4 linked regions of the Drosophila melanogaster genome follow. The protein of the gene in region 1 interacts with the protein of each later gene in a pairwise test. Each region holds a gene or a part of one and is shown in the gene's direction. Other genes may lie near its edges.

Evidence for each region.
Region 2: the proteins of CG42369 (region 1) and Tpr2 interact in a two-hybrid assay, tested with the Drosophila melanogaster proteins (one large-scale study listed by BioGRID).
Region 3: the proteins of CG42369 (region 1) and CG2604 interact in a two-hybrid assay, tested with the Drosophila melanogaster proteins (one large-scale study listed by BioGRID).
Region 4: the proteins of CG42369 (region 1) and CG1542 interact in a two-hybrid assay, tested with the Drosophila melanogaster proteins (one large-scale study listed by BioGRID).

What each region holds. Positions count from the first base shown.
Region 1 is NT_033779.5:6,395,245-6,399,513, reverse strand, and holds CG42369 (uncharacterized protein), read left to right. Parts: upstream 1-2,264; 5' UTR 2,265-2,420; coding exon 2,421-3,626; 3' UTR 3,627-3,661; downstream 3,662-4,269.
Region 2 is NT_033779.5:16,489,542-16,494,868, forward strand, and holds the start of Tpr2 (tetratricopeptide repeat protein 2), read left to right. Parts: upstream 1-1,998; 5' UTR 1,999-2,370; coding exon 2,371-2,510; intron 2,511-5,327. Other genes in the region: Nepl8 (Neprilysin-like 8), read left to right, coding at 1-54, 108-574.
Region 3 is NT_033777.3:5,220,727-5,225,355, reverse strand, and holds CG2604 (uncharacterized protein), read left to right. Parts: upstream 1-1,990; 5' UTR 1,991-2,106; exon of another isoform or gene 2,107-2,209; 5' UTR 2,210-2,224; coding exon 2,225-3,517; 3' UTR 3,518-3,724; downstream 3,725-4,629. Other genes in the region: CG14664 (uncharacterized protein), read right to left, coding at 947-1,201; CG1116 (uncharacterized protein), read right to left, coding at 4,065-4,607.
Region 4 is NT_033777.3:31,211,591-31,215,355, forward strand, and holds CG1542 (uncharacterized protein), read left to right. Parts: upstream 1-1,867; 5' UTR 1,868-1,953; coding exon 1,954-2,019; intron 2,020-2,081; coding exon 2,082-2,165; intron 2,166-2,223; coding exon 2,224-2,997; 3' UTR 2,998-3,194; downstream 3,195-3,765. Other genes in the region: zwilch, read right to left, coding at 40-535, 593-1,699; CG15561 (uncharacterized protein), read right to left, coding at 3,218-3,765. UniProt on the Drosophila melanogaster protein: Required for the processing of the 27S pre-rRNA.

The sequences.
Region 1 (4,269 bases):
TGGCAGTCGGGGCAGAATTACATTTGCTTGATTGAACTTACCCCGTGCCCCAAGACTCCTTGTCCTTATAAGCTTTTCCCCGCTTTTCTCGGACTCTACACTGCTTGGACTGCAAACGTACGGCAGACTAGAGGAGACCTCAGATGCGGAACAATGCAGCCTCTAACCGAGATGCAGCAGCCATGTCAGATACTAAGATACTTGCTCCTTTTACCTGGTCGACATGTCTCTAAATGTATTAACACTATTAACCTCCATGGGTTTGATGGAGTGCCTCCTTCGGTTTAATGCTACAGACAAACTTATTTTTTCCATAAAGCTTAAAGTTCGCACTTTTGAGATAGAAAATGCACAGTTGATAAATATATGTATGTGCGATGCTCTATATTGGCCCCTCAAGCATTTACTTAATCTGTCAAGTTGAGTAAACAATGAAGCAAAATAGAAGGACAGATAAATACACTGAGATAATTTTATGACAATATCTTCGATTTAAATGGAAATCATGAAATCTTGCATTAAGTACTTTTCGCATTTGTATTTACTTTGGGAATTCTGATCCCAAGTAATGTAGCTGAAAGAACTTAAAATTCTCTTATACAGATGACTGTCCAACATCTTTATTGGATATAGATGTGTGCATACCCAATGCCTCTAGGAGTACAGGGTATTTATTCATATAAAAGAGCACAACTTAGAATGTAACTTAGAATGATGCTCGGTCAACGCGCGGGATGAGCGATAAAATCAAAGCACAGTATAACCAAAACAATTGTTCAAAAAGAAGAGCAATTTTTTCGGACAATGAAGAAAGCGCATAAGAAGTGTTTTGAAAAAAACAAAAGTTTAACTCCTTTAAAATCATTAAAACGCTTTTAGCGCTTTTCACGCCCCTGGCCAGCGAGAATTTCCACCCGTCTGGCAAAGCGCTGGAAAGTTTAGTTTCGGCTTTGTTACCGAAAAAACAGAAAGACAAAAAAAAAAAAAAGGAAAACTGTCGGCGATGATGGAAAAAGTGGCAAAGTTTTTCTCAAAGGCATCACTGGCGAAGTATAAGAATAAAATGACCGACCATGAGTGACCGGAGCAAAGCTCTATGGGCTAGTAGATACCCTAACCAGATGACTTTCTTGCGAATAGATTTTGTCACTTAAGTGCCAGCAATGTGGAGGGCAGCCGTTCCTCCAGCCATGACTCCTTGGCTTTCGTCCTCCAGAAATCCTTTGTCCTTGGCCACAGTTTGAATCAAAGTGTCTTGGTCGTTCGCCATTGAAGCGAATGCGTAGCCCATGCCAATTGTGCAATTGTTGGAAAATTTCTTCTTCAGGTTTTTGGTATCTTTTATTTTTTCTTACATTTTTTTTTTTCCTAAAAACTTTATCGGTGTGCCTTTCATTTTTTCTTAACCATTTTTCCCCATTTTTACGCTCTTTGCCAAACCGTTTCCATAGTTTTTTTTTGCGTTTTGGGTTTCGTCTTAAAAGGTGTTGGCCATTATGCGGTTGCAGATACCCTTTGATCGAATATTAAAGGCTAATGCACAGAAATGTTCGAACGAAATCGAAATCAAGTGTTTTCGCTAAAAGTTGGCAAAGGGGAAGTGGCATGAGTTCAATCAATTTGACGAACTTCAATCAAGCTGCGCCATAGAATGAAGAACGACGAGCATCGCTGATTTGGAATCCATGTGGATTCATGCCACATCCCATTTGGGATTCCGCTGAAGTTCTGTCGTCAAATGGCAGCAGTCTGCAGTCTGCAACTTTAAGCTAACTTGTGATAGGTATCCCGCACACGCGCTCAGTTTGAGTTCGGTCAACAATTGCCCGCACAGACAAATTGGGAAGGAGCGCTGACTATTTGATACATTGTAGGGACCAATGTCCTGGCCATTTGCAGTTGCACGGGCACCAGGTTACAGCGAATCGATTCCCTCATTCAATCCTATCCCGATTCACCAGTCAGTTGTTGCCACTAATGCCCTTTCGACGAACAATAGTTGTCGAAATGGGGAAAGGATAAAAATGCATTACCTTCAAATAAAAAGTTATGTATTAAATTGTGCTGGTTTCTGACAGAGGAATTGTAATCAGCGCTGAACTCTTTCCTTTCTTATTTTCGCTGTCCTTAATTTGCGTTCGATTATTAGCAGAAAATAAAATATAATATAATTTGCACGAATTGGATTACCCATTATTTCTCTCAGTGCCAGCTCCGTAGCGATAAGGCTGTCGAACTGAGCGCAGTTCGCTTTCGCACTGGTTAATCGTCAGTGGTCGGCTTGGCATATCAGACGAACTAACCGCATCACCGACTTGACTACTGACCCCAATCTAAGCCCCTTCGTCTAATCAGCCAACTGGCGGCGACAACAACGCAGTTTCTGCAATCAAAATCAGTTGGAGCCAGCTCCCTCTAAGATGATGATCGAGTGGTGGCTGCCATGGGTGTGCCTCTTGCCGCTCATGCAGGCGGATCCTGTTGCTCCCCAGCTGGATCTTGGTGTGAAGGACTTCCAGCTGGAGCTTCTGCGCGAGTTAAGCGACCTGGTGCAACAGCGGATTGAACCGAGTCTCAACGACTACCTGGATCGTCTAGGACGCATTCCTCGGAATGCCAACTACACCGAAGAGATGAGTGCAGCTCGCGCAACACCAAAGCTTCAATTGAAGGTGACGCTCATCAAGCAGCTGCTCGACGTGCGTCCGCACCTGGACACGGATATGGAGTACACCATTGTGCTGCGCAACCTGGTCTTTCTGAACCGAGTCAGATCCACGCTGAGGGCTGCCGAGGAGACTAGCACACAAGAGATCCGAATGATGCGCATGCACCGCCTCTGCCAGCAACTTGACCGACCGGCTCCTCATCGCGGCAGTCGCCTGATCAACGAACAGACAGTCGGGGCGGCATTGGGGCAACTCAATCTGACCAAAAAGGAGGTGAACTCCACCGGCTTGGATCTCAATGAGTTCGGGGCGCAGCTGTACGAGCGGGTCAAGTTATCCGGCGCCGAAATCATCGACAACTACCTGCACATACTGCGTTCCCTGCTGCAGGACATCATCGACGGTGACCATGCTGATCTGGCCGGGAGCAGTGCCAAGCTGGACAAGATGCAGCAGCAGCTGGACGTCATGCTTGCCACGGAGGACTTCTTCGAGAAACGTCAACGGGTGTATGCGTACCTGGAGCACCACTTGCGCACCGATTACGAGGAGATGCGGGACACATCGAGCAGCGAGCACATCACCGAACATCTTCTCGCCCAGCTGAAGACCAAGGGACTGGACCTGTTCGTCATCTTTCTTTTTAGCAATTTTGAATTCCTAGACCTGGTGCACGAGCACTGGGAGCAGCTGTTGCCACAGTCACCCAGTTTGCTATACGACGAGACCGCACGCCAATTGTACGATCTGCAGCAGCTGTATCAGGTCTTCAAGCTGGACACGGAGTGCGAGGCCAAGTACACGGCCTACTCGGACGCACTGCGTCGCTTGCACGAGCGGACCGTGGAGCAGGGTCAGCGCAACCGGCACATCTTTGAGCTGCTCCACAACGCGGCACAAAGCGTCGGCACGGTTACCTTCAACATGATCCGGGCCAAGTGCAATGAGCTAAGATGAGATGACATTTATAATAAAACCAAACTTTGCTACTTAAATGATGAGAGTTGCGTGCTTTTGGCTATATAGTTCCACATACTAATATCTTATATTGAAGACATCGCCTGTGCTGCAATTGACAGCGTTTGAAAGGACAAGTTTCACAACATAATTACATTTTGCCAGTTCCTGCGGTTGTCGCCTGCTTTTAATATCCGTCTGCCGCATCTGATTTCGCTTAAGTATCGTCCAGGAACACCTTTCCACATCTTCGGGGTGAGCGGACAGCAACTTCCTTTTGCCGCATTATGCAGATGTTGCCGTTAGTGTTGCTTCTCCTGGTGTTGCCACTGCTCGTTGTTTATCAGATGCTGCCAGGGCTCTAAGGATTCAACTCTTGCTCCTGCTTCAGCTCCAGCTGAAGCTGCAGCATCATGGCTCCCTTGTGGTACCGATGGGCCTTCAGACTAATGACTGCTGCTGCCGCTGTCGTTGGCCAAAGCCAGCTAATTAATTGTCGTCGTTGCAGGTGATTAGAACTTAAATGAGTTGCCGGTGCAGCAGAAGTTTCCGTGGCACAGTTAGCCGTCAAAAAAAGGACGACATGGTGGTATAGCCATCCCGAATAGCAGACATGGTGGTTGCTATGTTATGCAGCTGTTCT
Region 2 (5,327 bases), about 10 Mb from region 1:
AGGAGCAGAATATTTTGACTTACAGGAGCCAAGCGGCGCCATTGCCTCCACCTCGTACTATGTGATGCGCCCCAATGTGATTATTGTCCCCCTTGGGCTACTGCAAGAGCCATTCTTTCAGCTGGAAAGCGAAGATGTCTTCAAATACAGCCTGATGGGATATATTATGGCACATCACTTGATAAGCGCCTTTGCCACCGAGGGCATTACAATTGGCAGCGATGGAAACGATCAATCATTTAGATCGCATCGTTTCGAAGAAGCAGTCAGTTGCTTGTCACGCAATTCAGAGAACATCGATGAAAGCATGGGCGATATTGCTGGTTTAGAACTGGCCTATTTTACTTATGCTAAGATGGCCAAGAATCGAAACCGTTTGGATTTCACCCATTTGCCACCGGAGCAGATATTCTTCCTAAATGTTGGCCAGTTCTTCTGCGGCAATAGCGATATGTTGGTTCAGTACAAGGAAGATCAAGTGCGTTTACAGCGAGCTATTGAAGGGTTTGAGCCATTTGACAAGGCTTTTGGGTGCTACCGCAATAAGCCTAAGCACGAGAAGTGTCGTTTATAGTGAATACCTTGTACATATGCTTAGAAATACATATTTTTTGATAACAATAATACAAGACAATCGTGTTAAATTATAAAAGTGTTACAATCACATCCATTCTGTTCTTTTAAAATTAGTTTTAAACTAACAATAGTCAATAGGCTAAGATAGTTAAATGATCATCATTCGAATAAACAACGTTCAAGATTGACTCTTCAATGTCATGCACCTGCAAGATTACCATTTATTATAAATTAAAAAAACACACAAAGTTATACGTGTGTTACTTACATGCATTACATTCGGGCCTGGCCATCCACTTAATATACTGAGATGTAGCGGTCTTTGATTTGCGGGATCTCTTATGGATTTTAGAACATTGTTAACTTTGCTGACAAAGTAAATTCAACTTTTAACGACTTGTGGTGTGTGCGGCCCGATGAAATGTCTTAAAATACAAATTAAATACAATTCAAATATAATTCAGACGTCAAAAGGTTTAAAGTTAAAATATATTTTACCTTTTAGTGTTATTTATACGTATGAGCCTTGAAAACACAGTTGAATATCAAACGGATTTTTGTTACCAACAGATTCCAACAGATTCTCCAACTTTCGTTTTTTGATTGCCTATTCACTCGAAGATCTATTTCCAGTACTATGATCCTCCATAGTAGAGTCAGCTCAGGATCTTGTGATAATCCGCAAGCAATTCGACAAAGAATTCGTCGGCCAGAACAAAATTTATTAAATCATTGTAGTCATTCTCAGGATCTCTCTTAACTGGCAATCCGTAATAACGTATTTCATTATCTCCAAAATACAGTCGGAATTCAGATTAAATTTGCCGTTTCCGTCCTTTTTTATAAATATACATACAAATATACTAAGCAATAGACTGAAATGAATTCTAGAATTTGAGGAAACTAATTATGTACCTTTATGAATACTTTTCCTTACTTGTACTAATCAAACTAATTTTTAACAGATTTTTCATGCCGAATGATTACAATCTTATTTGGATGATTTGATAGAGCTTAGGAATAATGGTTTTAATTTTGGATTAAAGAGTTGCGATTAAGAAACGAAGATATTATCTAGTTTTTGAAGAACACAGGGTACTTTAAATTTCGCACGCGGAACGTCAAAACAAGAAGAAGTTTTCATCAACACTGAATTTCCGCTTGGTAATCAGCTGATAAGCGTGCTCACGATAGCCGAGTTCACATCCAACAGATGTTTCCCTTAGCAGGGTTTCAGACCCAAATGATGATTTATCTTATTTTGATTAAGCTCCAACACGCATTGCTTTGCATAATTCAGGTATTATTAGGCTGCTTAATATACAATCCACTTATATTGTTGTGTCCATGAGGAACATCGACACGTGAGGATAAAAATATTTATTTATCGATATATTTTTACTCTTGAGCCTTTTGCACACCCCTAGTTGTGTTCCACCACTACTTCGCATGGCACGCTTTTTTCCGTGTGCTCGGTTCGTTCGGCCATACAAAACACAAAATTCAAGTTTAAAAACTAAATAGGCAACTAAAAGGGAAGCCGCAGCGAATAAAGTGATTTGCTGAAAGAGACGTAAGAAAGTTAATCGCATCGAAGGCACCAGAAATCGGGGATTTCTAACACGGCGCGCGTGCGACGTACATACATACGCAAGCGCACACACACACGAACAATTACTTGCCATTGACGCAAAAGCGAAAAAGCAGTGGAATAAAGGGGAATTGACAAATAACAACGTTTTGCAAGCACTGGACTCTGGTCGCTGGTGTTCTTTCATTTTGTAATTGCCACGCATGGACGACGAAGTAATTGAAATTAGCGACAGCGAACGCGAAGAAACCTCATCGAACTCCGAAATGGATGTGGAAATAACGACAGAACAGCCAACCATCGATGTCAAAGCAGAGCAAATTGTGCCCAAGGACGCGGCAACGTAAGTAAAAATAAAAACGGGAAAATCTCCACAGTCGCTTTAAAACCAGAGATAACAGCCTGTCTGTGAATGTGGTTCCAAGTTACTTAAAAACTGTAGCTATGTTTATGCACAGTATTGTGTACATAAGGAAAAGGCGGAAAAATCTGGCATTATTATTTATGTAGCTGTAAAGTTCCTGAACATAAACCAAGCATTTTGATATAAAAATTCAATTTAAATTTGCGATATTCGTTTCGAAAATAGTAATTTAATGATAGTAAGAAGTGCTAAAACTGCAAAAGAAATTGAAATGTTTTAAGTACATTTTCAAACAATAAGAACGGCTAGTTGAAAACATATAAACTGCAGTCAATGCCAAACTGTGCGATAACAGTTATGTACATACATACATAGGTGTTAAAGTTTTTGTTTGCATTTCGGTTTTATGTAATCTATTGCCCGGGTCTCTACCTCTCACTCCCTCCCCCTGTAGCATTGCCCCGGTCTTGTCGCACCCATTTGGCATGGTCATGGGCAGCAGCCAAACGTAGCAAATAAGTATAGATAAAAAAAGCAAAAACAAGATATAAAACGTCAGCGACGCCAACGCACACGCCCTGCAGTTTACAGTGGGCATTCCGTAGAAAAGATCTGTGTTTATTATATACGTCATACGTTTCCCTGTAAAGCATTGTATTATATAATTACATTTTCATACAAACATGGTTGAGTGCTAAGTGCAATTTTCATTGTCAAAGCTTTCGCCGTTAAAAACATTTAGAAATGAGATATTAAACATGTTTGATTTAGGAAGGTTCTACTGTAATGCCATTGTTGTTGCTAGGTGCGCTTTGTTTAGTTCTTGTTTGAAACTGGTTTTACTTTCCGTTTGCCCACCAATGTTTCTCAATGTCTATCTGTGTGTGTGTGTGGGCACGTTACATTTTGAGATTCGAGCCTCTTTGGTCTCACAAGCTGGCATTAAAGTAACAGTTTTAGAGTGACTAGAGATTAAAGTCAAGGACAGAGTATTGCCCATGATAACGTAATTTAAATTTAATTTCATCATTGCTCTAGAAAATCCCTAATTTTTCATTTTCATTTATGTAGAATTATTAACCGCTTAAATGGAGCACATTATTGCAAATGTGCCAACATAAACAGTTATAAATTTGTCTTTGGCACGCTTCATTTACGTTTATTTTTGTTTTCCGTATTTCCACACAAAAGCGTCGAGGAAAAACAATAGGAAAAATAAATTTAAACAGCTATTTGCATTTGAACGGACGCGATTTTATTTATTTCCGTGTTTACGAGTAATCGAAGCTGACACTTAATTGAAAAATGGGAATTTATTTAATTTTTGGAAATTCGAGTTCAGTTTCGTTGTTTTGGCATTGATATACTTTTTGCCATTGTTGTGGCGCTTATTACGTTCTCTGCTCTACGCTAGAATTTGCGTCACCTGTTGTGATTAATCGCATGAAATACAGAAAGAAATCCAATGAGGATAGATAAGATTTGTATGGGAAATCGTCAGGTGATGGCTTAAATGGGATACAATCTATTGACCACCAGTTTTGCGTGTAAAACTAAATGCGATCAACTGGAGGAGTTTCAAAGTCAAGTAAAGTCATCGCCAAAAAACCGAAACACAAGACAATGCCAAAAGTTCGGGGCAACCTACACACAAAGCTACCGCAAAAGTTGGCCAAAATAAAACTTAATGTGAATGAACCCAAGCGCAAAATCATACGCTCCGCTCATATATCTTAGGCCTTCATCGTTTTTCTAAATTCCATTAGTAATATTATTTCGCCGTTTTGGGGTTCAAGGACTGACTGGGCACAAGAAGTTAAACAAAAAAAGCCGGAACAATTTCTCTGACTCATAGTCATGGAAAAAAGATGTTTATTATTGTTTTTTTGTTGTTTGCACTTACTTGGGAACTCGATAATGACGATGGGGGAAAGAGAGAAGATGATGAGGGAACCCGTTTGCACATCTACATCTATGAGTCAACCTGTTGATAAATTAGAAATTCCGAAAAATTGCAGCATTCAGCCTATTGATTTTATTCGCCTTGGTAAAAAGAAAAAGAACTGCTTTCGCTTATATATAGATACCGATGTGACATTTTGGCCGTTTTTGAGTTCAAGGTCAAATGCCAAGGCATCGTTCCTGCCTACTCGATTATTGTATTCAATTATTGAAGCTAATATTTTCTAGTTACAGTTTAAAAATCGCTGAGCATTTAATTAGCTTAGGTAATAACAGTTTGAGCTTAAGTTTTGTGATTAGATTAAAGCCTTATCACATCTGTTAGGCATTACAGCACTTTTGTTTTAGTTTTGCTTGGAATAAGAAGAAAAAAGAAAAAGAGCTCGTTGTTGTGATTGCCTTTCAGGATTTACTTATAAAAAAACATAACATAAAACATAAAAAAACATGAAAAACATATACTTCCTTTGCATATATTTCCTTTGCCATTTGGAAAACTGTTGCTCGTTATCTGGAACTACAGTTTGGATAGCACTTTGTTCTATTTATTGGCCATCAACAAAGTTGCTAACGCTTTCGGTGCAGATGTATTTCAACGTAGCTTCGACCCAAATTCGCTTTGGTACAACTTTTTCTCTATTTCGTCTAAACTTTTGGCCAACTATGTATATAACTTCGAGCAATTAGCTTCAAACTATGTAGCCCTCGAAAAGTTATTGCTCGACTCCAGTCAAAGTGGGTCAATTAAATTATTGATTCGCCGACGAGGCTAGAAACAGAACACAAAACCGATGGTTTGAATGGTTTCCAATATTAAATATCTTGATTGTTTCG
Region 3 (4,629 bases), on another chromosome or scaffold:
TCGAATCGTGTCTTTCGTTTTCTCCACCACCGAGCTTGGGGTGCTGTTTCGTTGTATCCCGCTTGCAGGATCAAACGAGATGCAGGATCATCGTGTCTGATCTAGCAGATGATTCCATGGTAGCAAGCGACCGATGGCGAGTATCAGATACTTTAACTTGCATAACAGCCAAGTTAGCCAACTTATCTGAGCTGTTGGAATTACACAATTTCTAAAGCTCATCGCTTGGATATTGGTTTCTTCCTTTGTCGATGGTTTCTAGTTGTTCTAATTGTCATTTACGCGATAGTCAGAGAACTTCAGAGAGATCCATATAATCCGAATGAATAAACTCGACATAAAATATCGCAAGTCTTGCACCATGGAGCAGTCTTGCAGTAACAAGTCGTTCGAAGAAGTCTCGTTGGTGAACTGCGTCACAGTCAGACGTTGTCCAAATTCGACTGGAAGAACAGGTGGCTCTGCCAGAAGGACTGGTACTGGATATATGACTTTTTCGAAATATTTATATTATTAGCCAGCACGTAAACGGGCAGTCCTTATAATTACTAACGCGATTTCAATACTCTATAAGATTAGGCACAATTTATTTTTAAATTCGAGCTATTGTAGTCAATTTAAGATCCCACGTTAACACAAACTTCTGTGGTCTTAATCGTGACCAATTTTGTTGCTCTAATATTCGAGGATCCTGATATTCTCTTGTTTAAAGGTCAGGATGTTGGGAATATTTTGTTTCTATTCGATATTAAAATGTGTATGCATACCACCAACTGTGCGTGTTGGTAATTTTACCCGATTTTAAAGTTCTTTCTTAATAGATTAAGTACAATTTAAAGTAGGTTACAAGGTTATTTAGCAACTAGAGTTAATGGCATAAAGACGTAACTTTAATATTTATGTATATATTCGCTTATCAAATGGACTCTTAGGCGGTAACAATAAATTACAAATTTGGGAGACTGGTTTGGGGAGCAGCACCACTGACCAAGGGTTTGGCCAGCGTAGTGAATCGCCTGCTGAACTGATCCTTTACCAGCTCTGGAGTGACTGTGGAGGCCGCGTCCAGGTACTGCACCACTGGAATCTGGCCCATTTCGAGCACGGGAACCTGTCGCACGCGAAGTCCCGGTAGGAGTACTTGGGATTGGGCCATAATCAGTGCAAGGAGTCCAACCAGTGGTATAAGATGCAGCCTCATTTTGAGTTGATGCAGCTTGGAGAATGCTGGTGTCCCACTGTTAGCTTCACACTTTATACTTATCCAGGAAATTCCGGAAGTCTCTTACCTTCCCCAAGCATCGGGTGATTGATCTGCAATTGGCTTACCGCATCTGCTCTGCTCGTGTCCGTTCAACCGGTTAGGCAGTATCGTTATTTTGAATAACTGGAATTGGCGTGCGGAATGTTAATGGCCACAGTCTTCAGTTCGAAGCTCACACTTCAAAATGTGATATCAAAATGTTCATTTTGTAATTGTAATTGATGTACATAGCACAAGTTTTGAACGACAAGTATAAAGAAAAAGACAAAGCGAAAATCTCCTTCAATTCGAATCTTAACAGCTCATAAAGTTATGAGGCAGAGTTTCCACCCTCTGACCAAGAAACGAATCGTATTTCATCCTCCCTACATCTTGCAGAGTAAATTAAATAGAATAGGTATAGTGATTCCGACATAGATATTTCGTATTTTGAATGCATCCAATGGCATGGCAGGGGAACGCTTACATAAGCATTCTATCACAAGTGATTAGACTAATTTAGAAAGTTAATCTGTTAATTTCATTAAGCTCACTGATAGCTCTCCCACTGAATGACATTTTTGAGTCATAGTCACAAAAGATCACAAATAAATCGAATTGACCATTCACAGCCAGACTCAAACAAATTTCAGACGGTGAAAACACTCCTTCAATCCTTAGAATCAGTGAAGTCGGGCCATTAGACGCTTGCAGGAATACCCCTAACTCCATTCAGAAGAGCTTCGACTTTGGCCGGTTGGATTTTCCACCTACATACGTACACGATGCATGTGTATTTGAATTAACTGAATAAGAACGCCGATTAGCAGCTCAGTAGGCGGAATCAGTAGACAGCGATACAGGTGAGCGGTCGTTTATCTACTCCATACCATACAGCGTGCTAAGTCGCAGCTGCGATTCCAGTGATATCGCAATATCGCGCAATCTGACATCGAATCTTTGAAGGCGACTTACGGCGAAATGTCTGGCGATCGACTGGATGTGATTATCTTTGGGGCCAGTGGCTTCACCGGCAAGTACACGGTCTTCGAGGCGGTCACGGTGCTGCGCGGCTTGCGATGGGGCATCGCTGGCAGGAACCGCGAGAAGCTGGAGGCGGTGTTGAAGGAGATGGGCGCCAAGGCCAAGAAGGACCTCTCGCAGGTGCCCATCTTCATCGCGGACGTCAACGACCAGGCCTCCCTGCTTGAGATGGCGAAAAAGTGCCGGATTGTGGTGAACACGGCAGGACCCTACCGCTTTCACGGCGAAAACGTCGTGAAGTGCTGCATCGAATCGGGCACGCACCATGTGGATGTTAGCGGCGAGCCCCAGTACATGGAGACCATGCAGCTGAGGTACGATCAGCTGGCCAGGGAAAAGGGCGTGTACGTGGTCAGCGCCTGCGGCTTTGACTCCATACCCGCCGACATGGGCGTCGTCTTTGTGGAAAAAAACTTCGACGGCGTGGTGAACTCCGTGGAGACCTTCCTGGAGACCGGAATCAAAGAAGGCGGCAGTGGCGGAGGCACTGCCGGCCTCAACTACGGAACCTGGGAGAGCGCCGTTTACGGGCTAGCTCACTCTGACGAGCTGCGCGGCATCCGGAAGCAGATCTATCCCCAGAGACTGCCAAGATTCTATCCCTTTCTCAAGCCACGACCGCTGGTCTTCCGCTCTACCGAGGTTGACAAGGTGTGTCTACCTTTTCCCGGCTCCGACCGCTCGGTGGTAATGAGGTCCCAGCGCTTCCTCTACGACCAGGACAAGAAACGTCCGGTCCAGATGCAGGCCTACGTGGGATTTTCGTCTTGGCTGGTCGCCGGCGGTGTCATCTTTTTTGCCACCATCTTCGGTCTGCTGTCAAAGTTCAAGCTGGGACGTACGCTGCTGCTCAATTACCCCGGTCTCTTCTCCGGCGGATTGGCCTCTCGTTCCGGCCCAAGTGAGGAGTCAATGGAGCGCACCTATTTCAAGATGACTTTTAAGGCCAGTGGCTGGCTTAAGAGCGATCGCCTGGCCGAGAGTTCAAACCAATACACGGAGTCCCCGACCAAGACGCTGATGGTCCGCGTATCGGGCATGAATCCCGGATATGGAGCCACCTGCGTGGCTGTGCTCTCAGCGGCACTGACCATTCTTCGTGAGTCGGACAAGATGCCCAGCACAGGCGGAGTGCTGCCTCCAGCTGCCGCCTTCTCTAAGACCGGACTAATTAGCGAGTTGGAGAAGCACGACCACGGCATCAAGTTTGAGATTCTGGCCAACAAGTAATGTCCAGAATCGCACTTCTCCCTCCCAGCGGCTCTCTTTTAATCACCTTACTTGGCTGTTTGTTACTCGCGGTTTGAACTGTAATTATATAAGCACTTATTAAACTAACCCCCACATCCGCTGCTGTTGTTGCCGATTTCAAAGTCCAGGCGAAACGGGTTAGATCTAATTCAGTGAATTTTGCACCTCAGAATAAATTAAGATGCGAAAAACAGATTTTCCTACCTTAAAATGTAAATATTATCTTGGCTAACATCGCCAGGTGCAAGTCGCTATGAACATGACTTTCTGATTTCAAGCGGTTTGATTCGTATATTCGACTAAATTTTAATTAAGATTTTTGTATTTTACAAAGACGTAAGAGGGGATTGGGTTTCAGAAGTTTTTAAAAGGAACCGTAATCGACTTGTTGCTTTCGTTTGCTCTTTCTAAACGGCCTTATATAGCCTTAAAAGTGAGAAACCCTTTGGATTAGTTCTCCAATATATTAATACAATACTTCTTACTACTTACTTCCATCAAGAGAACACAGTTAACTGAAGTGCTATTACTTTATAAGCAGGTTGAATGTCTGGTTTGGAGCATAAATCTGGAGAGGATTCGCAGCGTAGACGGTCACGGGCAGATTCCATACCATCGTCTCCACGGGCATTTCAGACGGTGCTTTTAGCTCGCCGGACTCCGGATTCGGAATGCCAAAGTCAATCAAAGTTGTGGTCACAAACTCGAAATGCAATCGCCATCGCACGTCGACGAGGTCTGTGCGGAATGTGGGTGTTACGTGCAGCGGAATGGGTACCACGACCTGGGTCTGCAGCGTTGCGTAGCACACTTGGTGGGAGGTGGAAATGGTCGAAAGTTTCCCGGTTGGCTCAGGCGCCTCCTTAACCTTTGAGCTAGCCGATGTGGCCGACTTGTGGAGGTTATCTGCCAACACTCCGCTAGCTATGCTGGCCATATCAAAGGAGTTCATCGAGGAGACATCATCGCCCGTCGAGGATTGCGACTGCAGCTGGTGATTTTGCACTGGTTGCGGTCGGATGGAAAGCTCCTGCTGCTGCAGCTTTACCGAAAACTGGACGCAGCGCACCTGGTAAGATGCAGTAGGATTT
Region 4 (3,765 bases), on another chromosome or scaffold:
TAGCTAAAAATCCCAGGATCTGCTTTTTGTCCTTCTTACCATTTGCCAGATTTAAGTGGATGTGCATCATCAGGAGATGCTCTAAGGTGCAGTGAATCTGAAACAACTTTGAGATTCTCTCCGTACTCTCGTGCTCGTCGAAATGGCTGTTTTTGAACCCAGCATCATCGTCGCTACCGGCATATTTTGTACTCCGCGAATTGACAGCGCCGTGATGATGCAGCAGCGTCTTTCGCATTCCAGCTCCAGGGGTCGGATCACCCCTGACCGCATTGTGCAGGGATTTTCGAAGCTGGGGCAGATTCTGGGGAGAACCATCGTCCATCGACGCTCCGCTGGAGTCATCCTTCAACAGATTGGTGCTGCACATCTTGCTCTCGGTGTAGATAAACTCGTAGTCCTTGTACAACTTCTCCAGGCCAATTTCCAAAAGCAGTTCCAGAGGCTCGGCCCCACTTAAACAAGGCATGGCCAGACGACGGTTGGCCAACTCGGTGATAATCTTGGCAAGTCGATTTTTGTTAGTAGGCGTGTTCTATGGGGTGAGGAACATGAATAATATGTGGTGGTTTGCATGCATTAGCATACTTACTACTATGTTACACCGTGCAGCACATTGGAAGAGCATACTAAAGGCAATTTTGAGATCCTTGTAGGAGTGGCAGCACTTGAGCAGCTCCCAAAGCTTATCGGTTAGATCCGTGAGCTGGCGAACCTTGGCCCTCTGCACCACATCTTCGATGTCAAACTCCGCATTGCTGATGCTATACCGACCTATAAGGCCAGAGACATCTGTCATTGTCTGATTAATGGACTCGCGCAGCTCGTCCATGTCAATGCCACTGCCACAACGATAGGTGGGATCCCGAGAGACGCCCTGCTTGACATCCGTGTGGTAGGAGACGATGTCCTCGCGTATGTAGACCAGAATGCGCAGCTGATTCATAAAGTCCTGCGTCAAAGGACCGCAGTCGCCCACGCGAAAAGTGTGATTCAAAGCCACATCGCAGTCGTTCAGGTTCACCAGGAGCGGAAGTGCAGCACTAGAGGTCCAGGAGCAGCGTAGTCTCATGTGGGGATTGACCTGGTAGCTATTTTCAATGAGAGTTTCATCCGGTGTCTTGCCATGATGGCGCACCAGGGCTTGCGAGGTTACTAAGTAAGCAGGGCGCACACCCTGGTAGCTAAGTATTCCCCTGGAGAAGTGCGTAGGGTTGAACTCGTACTGGAGCAACTGAGTCTGCCCGAGATCACTGCCGTCGCACAAAAACCACACGGATCCGAGTCCCTCGGCCAGCTGCAGGAACTCGGAGCACACGATGGACCTAGCCTTGTCCACGGGTATTCCGCGTTGATATTCCTCCTCCAGCTTCCAGGGATTCGAGTGATCCAGCTGCAGGTCGATGGACAAGTCGGCTATGGCGTCCACCAGGCAGTCGTCCTTCAAAGGACTTCCCGTCAGATCCAAGTCCGCAGAGCCCTCTTTTTTTGGGGCTGCCCTGGTGGGCGTGGTCCGGAGTCTCGCCACTGCTCCATTGCGATCCTCCTTAAAGACCAGCACAATCTTCTTGCCAGCTTCCGCAGCCCCCACCATGCTCACCAAGTAGGTGGGTGGCGCTCCATAGGTGATCGTGTATGACTCGCCACACCGCCGCATTAGCTCCGCGTAAACGTTTGCCAAGTTCGCAGAAGCCGACATTTTTGGAGCAAATTCGCAAAACAGAAACAAAAAGCGGCAGTATTTGAAAAGCGAAGCGAGAATTGGTTAAACGGTCACACAGCACTTCGCTTTTTAGTGCACCTCAATAATTTTAGCAGTAAGCCGCGTGAAGGTCACACTGCAACATCGATAGCCGATAGACTTAGGCCAGCAACAATCGATAATTCTTATCCCCGCACGTGTTGAAATTGTTTTCTTTTATTTGGATCAGATTTAATTTAGTTAATTCAGACATGTCGGACTTTGAAATGGAGGACAGTGCCTCGGGCTACGACTCAGGGGATAACTCAGATGCCGAGGTAAGTGAGGAACCGAAGAAATGAACACCCCGTATACCAAAATCTCCACTCTTTTCCTGCAGCTGCAAGCGGCATTTGAGCGAGGCGACTTGAAACCAGGCCTAAATGTGGAATTCAATGGCCAGAGAGACAAAGTGAACGATGTGGTAAGTAGCTAGCTGGATGCCCGCTTTTGAATCGACTAATCCAATCCTGCCCACATAGACCAAACTGCTGGCCAAGACAGAGGCTATCAAGATGCAACTGCCTTGGCTGGAACGCCTGGACATGATCAACACACTAGCTCCACTGGCGCCGGAACTCGCTGTACAGCTGGAGAAGCACGAGCAGAAGCGGGCCAATCTCTTCAAGGGCAACGCCAAGCTGCCCTACATTCGGCCCGAGGAGGATCCCGTCCTGAATGACTTCAAGAGGGAGATGCTCTTCCACCGACAGGCGCAAAGTGCTGTTCTGGAGGCCATTCCCCGCCTTCACGAGCTGGGCATAAAGACTCGTCGACCCGATGACTACTTCGCTGAAATGGCCAAGTCCGACGAGCACATGCAGAAGGTGCGCGCCAACCTGATGGCCAAACAGCAAGGACAGGCGAAATCCGAGCGCATCAAGCAGATCCGCGAGCAGCGCAAGATGGGCAAGATGCTGGCCAAACAGACCAAGGTCCAACGCGAAGCCGAGAAGAAGGACATGCTGGACAAACTGAAGAAGTTCCGCAAGGGCAAGCTGAAAAACCTGGACTTCCTGGAGGACGCCAAGGCGCTTGAGTCCAAGCAGAAGCAGTCAGCCGAGAATCGCAAGAAGCGCAACAAGAAGTTCGGCTTCGGCGGCAAGAAGAAGGGCCTCAAGAGGAACACAAAGTCCTCCTCCGCGGGATTGGATGGCGACAAGTCCTCCAGGCGCCAGCGGGGCGTAAAGGCAGGTGCTTCGGTCAACAAGCGGCTTGGCAAATCGCGACGCATTAAGGCCAAGGGCAGAAAGTAATCCCCGGGACTGCCGACTATATTTAGGTGACCAAACTCTAGTTTTATAAAGCCCCCAATCCTGTATAGATTTTTTAGACCCATAAATACATAACATTTTGTGTGCACACAGCCTTACTTTCGAAATGTGGAATACTCCGTATAGAATTTTAGAATTCCATGAGCAATTTTCATAAATTACATTTTTCTAACATCGTTTATTCTAAAGTGGACTATAACTATTACACGTTCTCCTTGTTCTTTCGTTTCTTTTTTAGTTTTGTGCTAGTTTCCGATTCCTCCGAAGAGTCCGCCGTTTTTCGCTTCTTTTTTGACTTTACTTGTTCATCAGTTTCAACATCCTGGGGCAGTCCTTCAGTTGCTCCAAGCCCTGCTTGCCTATCCGCTCTCTTGTCCTTCTTCTTTTTTATCTTCACTGGCTCTTCGACTTCCACACCGTCTTCCTCTCCCGGCTCCCGTGTCTTATTTTTTTTCCTCTTGATCTTGACGGGATCTTCTGGAGTTTGATGTGCTGGGGATTCCTTTCCTGCCTTCTCAGCCTTGTCTTTCTTCTTTTTCTTGGATTTTATGGGCTCTTCCAGTTGGGAAACCTCACATGCCTCGGAAAACTCCTCCGCTATGGATTTTTTCTTTTTCTTTGCCTTCGTATCACACTGCTCCACACTGTCATCAACTGACTCCACTGCTCGATGCTCGGTTTCAGGCGTAGTCTTCAGCTTGCGCTGAAGCTTCTCCAGCATCTCGCGCTCCTGCTGCTCCAGGCGGGCGA